Linked DNA regions of Notamacropus eugenii. The protein of the gene in region 2 interacts with the protein of the main gene of each other region in a pairwise test. Links are inferred from orthologs where the notes say so. Each region holds a gene or a part of one and is shown on either strand. Other genes may lie near its edges.

What was found.
Region 1: the proteins of TRIM54 (region 2) and NGLY1 interact in binary tests that used the Homo sapiens proteins (3 or more experiments, as listed by UniProt). The two-hybrid records come from large-scale screens. The link is inferred for Notamacropus eugenii from reciprocal best matches to the Homo sapiens genes TRIM54 and NGLY1.

The regions. Positions count from the first base shown.
Region 1 is NC_092874.1:28,791,295-28,798,930, reverse strand, and holds the start of NGLY1 (peptide-N(4)-(N-acetyl-beta-glucosaminyl)asparagine amidase), read right to left. Parts: upstream 3,039-7,636; 5' UTR 3,004-3,038; coding exon 2,867-3,003; intron 2,088-2,866; exon of another isoform or gene 1,021-2,087; intron 1-1,020. UniProt on the Homo sapiens protein: Specifically deglycosylates the denatured form of N-linked glycoproteins in the cytoplasm and assists their proteasome-mediated degradation. Cleaves the beta-aspartyl-glucosamine (GlcNAc) of the glycan and the amide side chain of Asn, converting Asn to Asp.
Region 2 is NC_092872.1:528,548,059-528,555,365, reverse strand, and holds the start of TRIM54 (tripartite motif-containing protein 54), read right to left. Parts: upstream 3,094-7,307; 5' UTR 2,695-3,093; coding exon 2,527-2,694; intron 1-2,526. Other genes in the region: DNAJC5G (dnaJ homolog subfamily C member 5G), read right to left, coding at 5,975-6,060, 6,925-7,090, 7,257-7,307. UniProt on the Homo sapiens protein: May bind and stabilize microtubules during myotubes formation.

The DNA.
Region 1 (7,636 bases), on a different chromosome or scaffold from region 2:
AATGACTCGGTTTGAAGAAAAAAAGACTCCGGGGACATGAAAGCTGCCTTCAAGTATCTGAAGGCTGTTATATGGAAGAGGTATCAAACTCCATGCCAATGCAAACTGCAAAACCACCAATTTAGGCTGGGTATTAGGAAAATCTTCAAGGTTAGCTGGCCCCAAAATGGAAAGGGCTGCCTCGAGGGGCAGTAGGTTTCCATGGAAGCTCTCTAGGCAGAGGCTGAACAAGCACCTGTCCATGAAATAATGAGGATGCCCTTCAGGTATGGGCTGGACGAGACAGCTTTGGCAGTGGTGGCTTCCAAATCTCCAATTCTATACTCTGTGATCTCTGTACAGCTTTGGGAGTCACTTGAAGTGATCAAGGAACCAGTGAGAGCAGCTGAAATAGCTAGAGTACTTATTCTTATGTGCCAGGCAATGGGCTAAGTGCTAGGCTCCAAGTGAAAGCATACTAGCTAGTCACTCTCCTCAACAATTTCACATTCTAATGGGGGGAAACACTTCAAGATATGCTGGATCACTAAGGGAGGGAATCAGAGGCTCAGGAGACAGCCTTTGGGGATGCACAAGCTTTGGTGTGGAGACAGAGAACAACACTGGCAGAAAGATTCTCTTCCCTCAAGGGACACAAAGAAGGCCCATCTAGAGAACCAGGAGGAAGCATCTGCAGCATCAAAATCTGCAGGTAGATGAAGACTGAGACGAGACACTGGATTAAGCAATTAAGAGATCACTGAACTTCTGACAAAGCTACAATCAGTGGCTGGCTGGTTCAGTTGCCAGAGGGCATCTGAGTGAAAATGGAGTGAGAGCTGAAAACGTAATGGAAGGCTCCTCTTTCCAAAGTCCAAAAGGGCAAGGCAGCTGACAGAGAGGATGTCCGGCAGGGCTTATAACTTTTTTTAAATGGTGATTTTTTAACTTTATTAAGCACCGGAGTGCAAAGCTCTCCTTTGGGTGGTCCAGAAATACTTCCCGATCTACTAAGATACTCATTTCTGGCAAGTCATTTACCATTTTGTCTTTAGTAAAGCTTTAGTCACTCATCATGAAGTAAAACAAATGGGTCAGAACCAGTTTGTCGATGTTGCAGACACCGTGGCATCTTGTGGTTAATTCTCCCTGACTCTAGGATTTTCAGTTCACAAAACAAAAATCTGTGAGTTAGTATCCTAATGGAGAAAGGTGAAGATCTGTCCACACTTTGTATTGGAAGTTTGAAGTTCAATGTCTGTAGAGCTCTGTAAGGAGGGAGAGTCCTCGGTGCAGTCATACTGCCAGAGGCATCCAGGCAAGGTACAAAAAAATAAAAACAATCTGGAGGCTTTTCTGTAAATGCAAGAGGTAACTCTGCTTGGGTCACTCCTGGAAGAAAGGGGTCAGAGCCCCTGAGGAGGGCCCTGGGCCGAGGCCAAGGGCCCCTCAGCACCTGCAGGCTGGGGCTAGTCGGGGAAGTGAAAGAATTGAGGTTAAATGTCAACTCCCAGGCTTTTCCTGCACCTGCCCTAGGCACCCCGAATCCTGTCCCCTTTCTCGATTAGACACACAGACAGACACACACAGCGGGGGGTGGGGGGAGCTTGGGACTCATGCCTGTGCACAGGCCTCAGAAGAACCTCAGTGAACGTGCTGATCAATACCTACACACCTCAGAACGCCCCCCAAAGCCAGGGGTAGTACCAGGCAGACATCTCACTGATCAGGGGTATCTGCTCTAAGCGTTTTGGTTTCATTTTAAGGCTGAGACAAGAACCGGGTCCCGGATAACGCTGCCAAGTTGTTTACAAACAGCTCCATGCCCAGACGGCTGGAGGGGCACCAAGCAGTCCGCGGTTCTTCGGGGCGGGGGTAAAGGGGATCTGGGGGTGACTGTCCGCGGCCCCGGGCCTCCTGGGCAGGTGGGGCGCAGCGGGCACGGGAGGGTGGCATGTCCTCTGGCACCCGGCAGGCCCGCACACACCGGCTTACACGGCCAGCGGTGCCCAAGTAACCGTACACCGTCCGGGGCAAAGGCCCCGAGGTGGGCAGCCGCAGCGGTGACTCTGAATCTTGTCCCACTCTCGGCAGGGATCGGGCGCGTTTATCAAACCGAGGGCCCAAGGCGGGGTGGGGGGGGGGGCACTGCCCGGGGGCAGACGCACAAGAGGGGGCCAGGGGACGTGCGCCCAGCCCGACCTCCGCGCACGGCCTCCCCGCGTCTCCCGGGTGTCCCGGGCACCCATCATTAAGGCAGAGGCGGCGCCTCCCCGGCCCCGGGCCGAGGACCCCTCCCCCTCTCCCTCCCCCCCTCCCCCTCTCCCCGGCCCCGGGCCGAGGACCCCCCCCCCCCCTCCCCGGCCCCGGGCCGAGGACCCCTCCCCTTCCCCCTCCCCCCTCCCCCTCCCCAGCCCCGGGCCGAGGACCCCCCCCTCTCCCTCCCCCCCCCCCCCTCCCCGGCCCCGGGCCGAGGACCCCTCCCCCTCTCCCTCCCCCCCTCCCCCTCTCCCTCCCCCCCCTCCCCCTCTCCCCGGCCCCGGGCCGAGGACCCCTCCCCTTCCCCTCCCCCCTCCCCCTCCCCGGCCCCGGGCCGAGGACCCCCCCCCTCTCCCTCCCCCCCTCCCCGGCCCCGGGCCGAGGACCCCCTCCCCCCTCCCGGGCCCCCGGGGGCGCGCGCCGCCGCACCAAGGACCCCTCCCCCTCTCCCCCTCCCCGGTCCCGGCCCGGCTCCGCCGCACCGCGGACCCCTGCCCCTCCCCCTCCCGGGCCCCCGGGGGCGCGCGCCGCTGTCACCCCGCCCCCCCGCCCGGCTGGCCCCCCGCAGCCCGGCCCGGCGACCACGTGCGGCCGTGACCCCGCGGCGGGGGCGGGGCGGGGGTCCTACCGCAGGATGTTGTCGGCGTAGGTGAGCAGCAGGCGGGAGGCCTCCAGGAAGGTTTCTCGGGGGTTCTGGCACAGCTCGGACACGGCCCTGGAGAGGGCGGGCGCGGCGGGGCCGAGCGCGGCGGCGGCGGCGGCCATCCCGCTCCGGCTGCGGCTCGGCTCGGCTCGGCCCGGCCTCCTCCCCCTCCCCCCTCCCCGGCCCCCGCCCCCTGCACTGAGCAGGCGCCCGCCCCGCCCGCCAGGCCGCGGCCACGCGCGCCGGGCACCCCGCGGGGGAGGGCGCGTCCTTGACCCGCCCCGGGCCGGGGCTGGGGGGACCCCGAGGACCCCTGGGGCCGCGTCCTCGGACGGTGCTCCCGGGGGGCCGCAGGCGGGCCTGACCCGGACTGGAGAGCTCGGACCTCTGCAGCGCCCCGCACCTAACAGCCCGTCCTCCCCCTCGGGAGCCCGGACCCCCTCAGTGCCCCCTCGCCCGTCCCCGGGCAGCGATGCCAGCCCAGCATTTAGCATGGGCATCGTTCCCCGGCTCGCCAAAGCTGGGCTGGGATCCCCGAGAGGAGCGGGGCTCAGAAGCCCCGGTGGCTCCGAAGCAAACTCGAACTGTGGCGTTTAACATGTTTCCCAACGGAGACTCCAGCCTTCCTGGTACCCCATTAATGCCCCGCTCCGCCCCCCCAGCCCCGGTTCGGCCGCACTGGGCCCCTCCGGCCGCGCTGGGCCCCTCGGCCGCGCTGGGCCCCTCCGGCCGCGCTGGGCCCCTCCGGCCGCGCTGGGCCCCTCCGCCGCGCTGGGCCCCTCCGCCGCGCTGGGCCCCTCCGGCCCCGGGTGACCTTGCTGGACCTTTCTGCCTTCACGCAGGCTGGCCCGGTCTGCGATGCCCTCCCTCCTCTCTGCCCCGGGGCATCCCCCGTTCGAGTCGGCTCAGCTCCAGCACCAGCTCCCACAGAAGGCCTTCCTGAACCCCCAGGCCGCCGGCGCCCCCCACCCCAGGCCCTGCTGTGTGTGTCGTCTCCCTGAGAGCATTCCCTTTGGGCTCCATCTCATTTCACGGCTGGGTTTAAGCCTCTGATGAGGTTAATGGCTAGACCTGTAGTTTACTGTCTGTTTCTTCTCCCTTCCGCCTTGAAGCCCTGACCTGGTAAGGCAGTCATTGCTAAGCCTCTAGTCCCGGTCTTAAAACCCGGGTCAGAAAATGACAGACATGACCCTCTGATGACTGGTGAAAAATCCTTGGTTCTGGCATAAGAGTGAATGACCCTGTCACTGATTAAATATGAAACCTTCTGATCTTCAGTCTCCTCTGTCGAAGGAAGGGTTTGAACTGGACAGTTTCTGAGGTTCTCTCCAGATCCACATCTAGGAACAGTCTACGTAACCATGCAGAACGTACATATGGTGTGTCTAAATATAGAGAGAGAGTACACATACACACACCCCTTATACTTTTCCTGATTTGATTCAATTCCATGGTAAGGAATTCAGAAAGTCCTTTCTCCAACCTATCCTAGGATGGTTTGCTCCTCCTAAACCTATTTTTGACCTTCATTGTACCCATCATTTCTCCCCGCTCTGCCCTCACTTTCCTTTTCCTCCCTTGCAAACATCAATTCTAGAATTTACCACTTTGCCTTACTCCGTCTCTACAATCAAATCCTTAGTCTCCTTATCACTACCATGTTCCCAGTCCAGGAATTAGCACGACCACCTTTGTTGGATCACCACTCAGGCCCTGCTCTCTCAAACTCTGTCCTGGGTCCTCGATGCCCTCTAACTTTTCATCGCTTGCACGGGTTCACCTGTCATCTCAATGCAGGTAACTTCTGCGTCTACAATGGCCATCATCTCTTCCCTGAGCTCCAGTCCTCTATCTATAATTGATCCCTGAACAAGCTGTACTGGGTGTCCTGTACATGACCCATTTTCCTCTATTGTCCTGGAGCTGACCCCTCTTCCTAATCATCCTATTTGTATCGAGAACACCACCATCTTTCCAGTCCCCCAGGTTCACACCCTCAGTCATGTTCCATTTCTGATAGGCAGCTAGCGGCCAAGTCTTACAACATCTCCAACTTCTGGCATCTTCTCTGCACTTACTCAACTGTTGCCCTAGTTTCAGCCCTTTTCACCTTTCATCTTGATCATTGCAATAGCTTCCTCATCTAGTCTCTCTCCTCTCCAGCCCTTCCTTCTCAGAACTGACAAAGTGACATTCCTAAAGCTGTTGCACCATGTCAGAAAAAAAAGGGAAAAGCTCCAGTGGCTCCCTATTGCTGATAAGAAAAAATACCAGCACCTCTATAATTCAAAGTCCTTCAGAGTCTCCATCTACACCACTTGACATCCAGGTGAATTGGGGATAGGGCACTAGACTTGGAGTCGTGAAGACCTGAGTTTGAATCCTCCTTCAGACATTGGAGCATGTCACTTAACTTTTCTGTACTTCATCTGTAAAATGATGTTGATGACCTCTAAAAGCAGATAGCCTCCAAAATCCTTTCTAGCTCTAAATCTGTGATTTCACAGTATCCTTCCAGGCCCACAGCTCTCCTTTTCACACACTCTACAGTCCTACCCAACAGGTTTATTTGCTGTTTCCTAAACATCACATTCCATTTTCAGTCTCCACACCTTTGTGCAGGCTGCTTCCTCCCCTACTGGGCTATATTCCTTCCTCACTCCTACTTCTTAGAATCCATAATTACTTTCAAAGCTGAGCTAGAGAGGGCTTCCTCCATGAAGACTTTTCTGACCCCTGTGCTTTCCCCAATGACTATGTACATATTTTATATTTATTTTGTGTCCATGTGATTTCCCCTGAAAGATTGTAAGCTTCTGGAGGGCAGGGACTACTTCCTTTTGATCTTCTTTTCCTCAGCTCTTTGCAGAATGCCTGGCACACAGTAGCCACTTGTTGATTAAATGATTTCCACAGCAAATCCCTAGTCTTACATATAGTTGCCTACTTCTTATGTCATTGTAATATTTTCTTGGGCTTAACAAATTGATTAACAAATTGATTTATTATTTCTGATTACATTCAGGAAACTTCTCAGTGTGTGCTCTTCAGGTGTTGTCCTTGAACCTTTTTTATATCCTATCCCTGTACCTCTTTTTTTGGGTGATTATATGGTCCAAGAACCACAGATAATGGTTAAGCTGGTGTTGGAATCTGGAAGCTGGGTTCAAATCTTGCCTCTGCCATATGCTAGTGGTGTGAATAAGGCTAAATCAATTAACCTCTTAGTGCCCCAGGCAATTCCAAAACTATGGGTTACATTTGCTGAGTTTCATAGGTGGAGTTTCCCTAATGGGAGTTCTTCCATGCTCACATTTCTGAATCCTTCCCCACCAACCAAACCCCAAACAAAACACAAAACCACACAAAACTTAGTGATCGCTACCTTTCTTTCTACTTCATATTCTTTTTCCTTCTTTCAACATCTCCTCATAATCTGTCAGGAATATCATTCAGCTTGAGTATAGGCCTAACATGATAAATATTCTGTTTTTGTGTTGCTCTGCCCCACTCTCCCACCTCTTTACTTCCCTATTGACATTGTTACATGTGTATAATTCTAAGCATCTCTCTAGTCAGAGACTGGAACCTACTAAATTTTTACTCTTACCTCTCTATGAAATGGAAAAGAATGTAAACTTGCAAAGACTCTGCCAACACTACTGAGCCAGAAAGATTTTAAATATGAGTAGACAACAGACTCCCAGCCTAGCTTTATTTGGAGATGTTCATCACCAGAAGGTTGGCCATCAAGCAATGAATTATTAGTCCACAGTAACTCCTATTAGCCATCTCTCAAGGTCAGAAAGGGTTTTGATCTCTTTCTATTGATAATGTTTAATATAAAATTTTAGAATAATCTCTTTGTTCTCTCTGAAGCAAACTCAGAGAGTGCCTCTTCCTATGTCAGCAAAAGCCAGCCAAGGCCGACTCTACACTCCTTAAGAAGACCTTTAACCTAAGACACTATATCTTGAATAATGAGGCTTTCCTTTGTATCTTATTATCTATAGACATATACTATGTTATGGCATATTAATGGTAAAGAAAAATAGACATCTTAGGTCGTAATTTCTATTGAACTTTGTTTAGCCTTTTCCTATGTCAGTTATCTGTTTAGGGCAGGAAGCCTGCCACTCACTAGTGGTGGGATTTCCTTTCTCGTCACTGAGACATATGTTTACCCAGCTGGAATTGCAAGGCCTGACCAACATTACTTTGTTAATTGTCTTGTCTTACTAAATTTATGATTTGTTCAACTAGGAAAGTTCCTTTCTCACAGCATAATGTATATAAGCCAGAAGATTTCTGCACTGGGTAGCCAGAACATTTCTGGCTCCATAATGCATTATGTTACCGTTACCTTTAATAGGGAATTGATTGATTAATTAATTAAATCATAAAATGTATGCAATTAGCCTGTTGCCTTTTCTTTAACCAAGTTTTCAGGTCAACACTATGGAGGGAGTACCCATAATGATGAACTTTTGGCTTTCTTGCATATGTATTATGCTTATCTGTAAACGCATCTTTCCTCTTATATCATCAACTCTTTAGCACAGAAACCTTTATTTTTGTATCCACAGTATCTTCCCCTGATAATGAGTGCCTTGTTACTGTTAATAAATTTGTTGTTGAACTGACTTTTCCTCAGATGAATGAACTCCAGTATTTAAAGCTGAAACATCATCTACTCACCCCCCTCATTTATAATTGAGGAAAAGGTTGCCATGTGTCCATCGCAGAGGCAGCGAG
Region 2 (7,307 bases):
AATTCAGAACTGAAAATAAAATAAAATTGAATTTAAAAAAAGCAATGTAAGTTACTTAGGGTGGAGCTAAGATGACAGAATAGTAGGAAGAAGTATAGACAAGTTCACTCTCTCTCACTGTACCTGAAAATAGATCTGAATCTTGATCTTTAAATTAAAAAAAAAGTTTTTTTCAGCCCAGGTTATCAATGCAGGGAGGCAGACAAAAAGATCTAGAGATACTGCTTGTGGGGGCCTATCCTGGATAAAGCATTCCAGTGCAAAGAGAGACTGTACACCAGAGCAAGAAGAAATTCTAAATCCAGTAAATGGACCTCCAAGTGTATAGGGTACAAGAATAGCTGTCAAATGGCAACTTTTTTGCTCACTACATAGTTTCAGGTCACAGATCTAAGGTTGACTGTAGAGGGGACCTGCACTAGGAGTAGTATTCCAGGGTGAGGAGTGGTTGTGGACTTGAGACTATATACTGAGCAAGTAGCAGCTCTGTGGCTCTGACCTCAGGAGAAGAGAAGGATCTCTGTTCCAGTCTCCAGTCCCATCTGAAGCCTGCAGAGGAATCACCAAAGGAGTTTGCAGTTCTGTCCCTCTGTACCAGAAGAATTTTCCAGTTGGCTAATAGTAATTGAATTCAACAGTAGAATACTGAAATTAAAACTGGGGCAAGCTCACAAGTGAGTTGCTCAGATCCAAATCTAGGTCAGGAAATTGCAGAGCTCAGACTAGGAAGGAAGAGAACAGATTTGCCTTAGAGCAAATGATTTTGGGACCACAAAAAGCTTGCAGATCCCTAGCTTCTACTGAGCTGGAAGATCTACTTTGAGATCCTGAAATAACACAAAACTCAATACCTTCAAGAATGCAATAGTAAGAATCTAGAGGATTCAAGGTCAGCTCAAGCATTTTTCTCCAGAAGAGTGCAGGATCTAACCCTAACATAAAGTCTAAAGTCAGGAAGCAGGCTGGAAGAATGAGGAGACATAAAAAGATGTAGCAACCACCATTATGAAGAAGCAGAGAGCTTGGAAACAAAGTATTCCAGAAAAAAAGAGGATATGATCCACTTGCCAAGTAGACGTACCAAGAATAATTTACTCAATGAAACTTAGTATAATCCTGCAGGGGGGTGGGGGGAAAGGGACATTTAATGAGAGAAGACTTCCAAGCATTCCTGATGAAAAGACAAGAGCTGTATAGAAATTTGAAGTACAAATAAATACATGAGTCAAGAGAAATACAAAAAGGTAAACATGAACAAGCAATCATAAGGGATAAGGATAACCTGTTTACATTATAATATGAGAAAATGATGTAAACGTATCTTCAGTTCCCTATCATTATCAGTGGTCTGAGATGGCATCTAATTAGACAGAGCGCTTGGGAGTAGTTCTGTTATGGCTTATCTTAAAAGAACAAAAAGGGGGTGGTTAATAAAAGGAACGGAAAGGAGAGAAAGGATGGGGAAAATCTCACATCATCAGGGTACCCAAGTAGACATCTATACAAACAAGGAGGAAGGGGTGGAAGAAGCTGGTGATACTTGACCCTTTTTTCTGAATTGATCAAAGGACAGAAAATGCATACACACAGTTGAGTACAGAAATGTATTTCACTCAACAGGGAAACAAGAAGGAAAGGAAAGATTGGGAGGGGGAGAATAAAAGGGAGGGTAAATTAATAGAGAGAGTAATCTTAAGTAGAACAAACATTAGCTAAGGATGTACAGAAATATTGATAGCAGATCATTTTGCAGTGGCAAAGGATTGAAAAGTGAGGGAGTGTCCACCAATTGAGAAATGACTAAACAAGTTATGATGTATGAATGTGATGAAGTTGGTGCTATAAGAAATGATGAAGAGGATGATTTCAGAAAACCCTGGGGAAAATTGTATAAACTGTATGTAGATGCAAAGTGAAGCGAGCAGAACCAGAACAACTGGTTCAATAACAAAAAGACTGTAAAGACAAACAACTTTGAAAGACTTAGGAGCCCTGATAAATACAATGATCAATCATGATTCTAGAAGATTCTTAAATGAAACATGCACTTATTCAGAGTGCAGATTTAGACTTTTTTTTTTTGGACAGAGTCAATATGGAAATCTGTTTGGCTTCACAATATGTTTTTATTAAAGGACTACTTTGAGGGACTGGTCATTCAACCAATTTTAAATCTACTTAACCATACTTAACACCTAACCCACAAATCTGGTATTTATCTTGTCTGGTATTTTGATTGTTTGTGCATGGCACTCTACTAAGCACCATACAAAACAAGTAAAACCTGTGTTGTCAACATTCTTATGGTTTGTGATCTGCTTAGACACCTTAGGTCCTTTTCTGTTCAGCCACAAGCTGGCCACCCTCATGCATCTTACCTCTTTCCTAAAGCTTCTATCCATCTAAAGCAGTGTACCACGGTAAGTGGCACTTGTGGATCCAATTTTCAAACCCCAACTTTGATAGCATAATCAACGGGTCCCCTCTTCTTTCCCCACCACCCCCAACCCCAGACTCTGAGCCCACCTGGAAGACGTCATTGGCACACTTGCGGCATAGGTTGTGTTGGCAGGGCAGGATCACCACTGGCTTGGAGAACATCTCCAGGCATATCGGGCAGATCAGTTGCTTCTCCAGGTTATCCATGCTGTGTGCATCCCCCAGCAGCGGCTTGAAACCCACTGCGAAGTTCATCCCCTCGGTGGTCGTGCCCACCCCTCTTTGGTCTTTTTTCCAAACCTGGCTTATTCTCTCAGCTATGTGAGTCTGTCTTCAGCTGTTGCCCCCCTTTTTTTGCTACAGCCTGTCTAGATTTTTCTTAAAAGTTGTTTCTGTCTCCTTGTTCTGTCCCTTAATCAATCCACCTCGTGGCCCCTAGGCAGCCAATTGATTTTCTCTCTCTGGAGAGCTGTTTTTTAATCTTTACTTTTCTACTCTGAGTGACCAGGCAGATTAAGAAAATTTTGTCTTGCCCTTACACTTCAGATGGCTCCCCCCTCACTCCTGGGATAGTCTTATCTCCTGCTCCCCAAATGGCCGACTATTGCTCACAATTTAGGCACTGCTGTTTGTTCCTTAATCCTAAAGCAGGAGACTAATTTTAACTTGGGGATAGGGGAGACTAGGGGCATTCAATGACACAATCTCTCACATTCCTATTCCCAATTTAGCTTGTGTAAGGGGAGCCACAGCTGTCACCAAACAAGTGACCCTGAGTCACATAGACTAGGGGCTGGAGGAGGGGCTAGAGCCTTTGTGGGAATAGGGGGCAAACCTGAGCCAGAAAAAGAGTTTGGAATACTTCAGTCTCTCACATACCAATTCTAAAAGGGCTCCCATTGGTTTTTACTCAGTCATACTCCAGTTTGGGCCTTATCCTGGACACAAAGACTATGACCCTACAAATAATCCCAGTGAAGGCATCCAGCCATGGCTCAGCAGCTGGGAAGGCCCAAGAACTGGAGAGTTTTGACAAGGACAATGGGAATTAGATATATCTTGGACCCGCCACAGTAACCCTCGACCTCCTTTCTCTATCCACATCTTATCAGATTCATGGCAAAAGATAGTCCCTCCCCTGTTTTCCCCCAGGACTCTGCCTAAGTCATTCTGGAATTTGATATCCAATGAACTGGTGGTACCTAGATTCAAGGACAAGTTATTTCATCAATGTGGAAGTCATTCTACAGTTACAGATCACAACTCCTCCAGAATTACTGTGACCAAAAAACTGAATCACCTTGTTGTGACCAAGCTCATGATGAATCTCTTGGGCCTTAGCTAGGTTAGTCCTCAGACATATAGAGAATTTATGTCACCAGCCTATACTCAAAGCTTTCTAACTTTGATAGGACCTAGCAGAGCTTGGGTTCTGCTGGCATAGTCATAAAGAATCCAACTTTGCCTCCATTTGACCAGTGAGGCATCAATCAGACATTATTGCCTACACTGATGAAGTCCCAATCAAGGCCTGAAATTTATTTCCTGGAGTGCATTTTTAAGACCGGATAGATTCATGGACCAGGCTCTTCTTCTCTTATGCCTAGTATTTGAAAGGATTTCTCTCAATGTGGAAAAAAATTGCCCTCTTCTATTCATGTGATGGGCTCAGCATTGGCACTATGGGGGAACATATAGTCAAGGAAAATAAATAGAAATAGGCAGTGGAGAAAATATAGTCCCATGAACAGATTGTCAGTTATAGTAAAGCTTCCATATCTGGGGGGAAAGTTAAGAACTGAGGTGAGTATAAAGAAGATTTAGGTACTTGTAACCCATTTTGGGCATAGGGGTCAAAGGTCTTAAGGAAAACAACTTTAACCCACTAAGAAAAGGCATAACCTCGAAGCTCTATAAAACTGCCAAATACCACCAAATTAGTCATTAAAGTTGTCAACCCTGGTAGCAGAACCCTGGTACTCATCTCTACAAACTGTTTCTAGGCTGTCTTCTCTGTCCCCAATCCACTGCACAAAGTTTCTTTATTCATTGATGTATATTCAATCCCAGTGCTTCCTGCTCCAAAACAGTGCTTGATTCTTTCACTTTAAGTTAAGGGGAGGCTATATGGGCTGGCCCTTGGTGGAATGTTTGTGGAAAGCAACTGAAATGGGTCCAATACTTTGGCACAGAAGACATAATAAAGGGAAAGTTTTGTGAGAAGTACTTTTTCCTCCAGGATGCAATTAACACCTCTGTCTTGGGAATAAGAACCTTAGGGAAGAAGACAGACTATGTCCCAAGAACACCATGTGGGTAAGGCTGGGTGAATGCTGGTAGAAAGAAACTAGAGTATTTGGCAAAGCATCGTAACCTTTTCTCCTTCCTTCCTTCTCATTCTTGAGAGCTGAGTCACAGTGGAATAAAGTGGTTCAGATACAAAGGGTACTAGGAGGCAAGGGGAGATGGGGCCCACCCCAGGAAGGTCAGCTTAGGACTCAGCCCAGCCATGGGATTCCAGATCCAAGGGAATGGAGGGAAGCATCAGTTCATGCATAAAGTCCAAGTACAGAATCTACCCTGCAAGGTGGCTCCTGCCCTGAAGGGTGTGGGGTGGAGAAGGAGAATAAACATTTATATAGTGCCTACTATGTTCTAGGCACTGTGCTGAGTGGATGTATATGTATATATACACATACATGCGCACATATATATGTATATATGTGTATATACATACATATACATATATGTATGTATGTATAATCACGACCACCCTGTGAAGTAGGTACTATTATTTCCCCCGTTTTACAGTTGAGGAACTAAGGTAAACAGAGGTTACATAATTTGCCCAGGGTTACATAGCTAGTAAATATCTGAGGTCAAATTTGAATTCGGGTCTTCATGACTCTAACCCAGTGCTCTTTCAGAGGTACCACCAGCTGTCTCTGAGGGAGACATTATCCCAGACAGTTTAGAGACACAGACCCCAGTGGTTACCATTAAGTTACATGGGAACAAGACACAATTCTTTTGGGGAGAAGGCAGCTCTGTCAGCCCAAGATTTCGCAAGGTTGAGATGGCATGAAATACATGGTATTGTTTCCAGCTGTATTCAGATTTGGGGCCAGGTTAGGAAAGTTACATAGGGATGGTGCTTACAGTGTTGGGATTTATAGTATTCTAGCCAGATCTGGTGATACTGTGAAGGTCAGGGAAAGAGTTCTCATAGGGAGAGGGCCAGAGTTTAGCAGTGCTTATAGCATTCATGGTGCTTACAGGAGCAGGGTTAAGATCAGGACTGGGGTTAGAGGTCCCCTTCTTCAGTGTGTACAGTAGACTGTGCAGCAGAAGACACATTCACAGGGTCAGCATCTGGAAACAGAAGAAGCAAGTACCATATTAAGATGAAACCCTTAAAGTAAGTATACAGAAAAAAACCCTTTATTACTTAACTTGTAATCAAGATACAATAAAGTTATATACTTTTTTCACTAATTTTTTGCCTTAGCCCCTTTTCTTCTCTTCTCCTTGAACACTATTGTTTGTCAGTTTCTGCATTTTGTGCCTCTTCATCTTCATCCATTTTTTGGTTCAGATTGGAGAAAGCATATTCAGTTCCATCTATGGAATTTGGAATACAAACATTTCTTTAAATGAGCTACAATTCCGGTCTTAATCTAATACTTAATACCATTACACTGAAGTTATTCCTGAGATCCTGAGATGGCGATGAGGCAGAAATTTAAGATCACTTTTAGATTAAACTGATCAATCAAATCAGTTGACAAACATTTAATTTAAAAAATTAAAAGCTGGTTATCTTTTGAGCAAATATCAAAAAGTATATCTCCTAACCCACCTTCATCTATGACTTCTTTTAGGCTCACCTCCCAACTCAGCAAAGACCCTAGACAGGATAAGTATCATACTCAAACTATCAATAAAGAATATATCCAGGAAGCCCTAGACCATACTGTGCCTCATCTTATTCAGCTATTTATCCAGATCATCTCACCATATGAGTTACTGGCATTCCTTTCCTCCCTCACTTTTCCATATCTAACGCTTAGTAATCAAATCAACAATACCACCCTGCTTTTGGAAAGGGTGTGTCAATCAAGTGTTCTATAGATCAACTCAATGTCCCCTTGACTCCTCGAACCAAAGCTGCCTTACCAGGACACCACTTCTTTGAATGTGTTATCTATTAGAAGTTTCTTGAAGGCAGAGACTATCTCATTATTTGCATTGTCGCTCCAGTGCTTGGAGTAAGCACTTAATAAATGCTTTTTCATTCACTCAAATTATATGCACCTTGAAAAAGCATCAGATTCTATACCCTGATTACCTTTCAATCTGATCCCATCCCAGATCTCATTCTCCTAGCTTTAGGGGACCCCAGGTTCAGAGATCCCTCTCATTTCAGACCTTCCTACCTTTACTCTTGGCCCAGATCTCACCTTGGCCACTTTCCTTTGGCCTCACCTGTCCTTGAAGGTTGTTTCTGCACATCTGTGCCTGCATGTTGTGTTTGTAGATCCCTTCTACACTTAAAATCGTCATATTCTTGTGGTACATTCATCCCACAGCAAAAGCAGCAGCAGCAACAGCAGCAGCAACAAGAGAGAAGTGTACACAAGAGGAGAAGGCACTGGGAGATTGGGGAGAATGACTTCAGTCCAACAGCTTCTCTAGTGTTGTCTATGCTCCCCCACCCCCAAATTCCCTAACGCTGACAGCAATGGGGCAGCATGCTCAGTGTATGCATAGGCATCTCTGTTGCCAAAATACTGGAGGGATTTCAAAGGAATGCATACCTTGAACCACCACTTGGTCACAATGAGGTAGATTTTGGCAGTGTCTGAGCC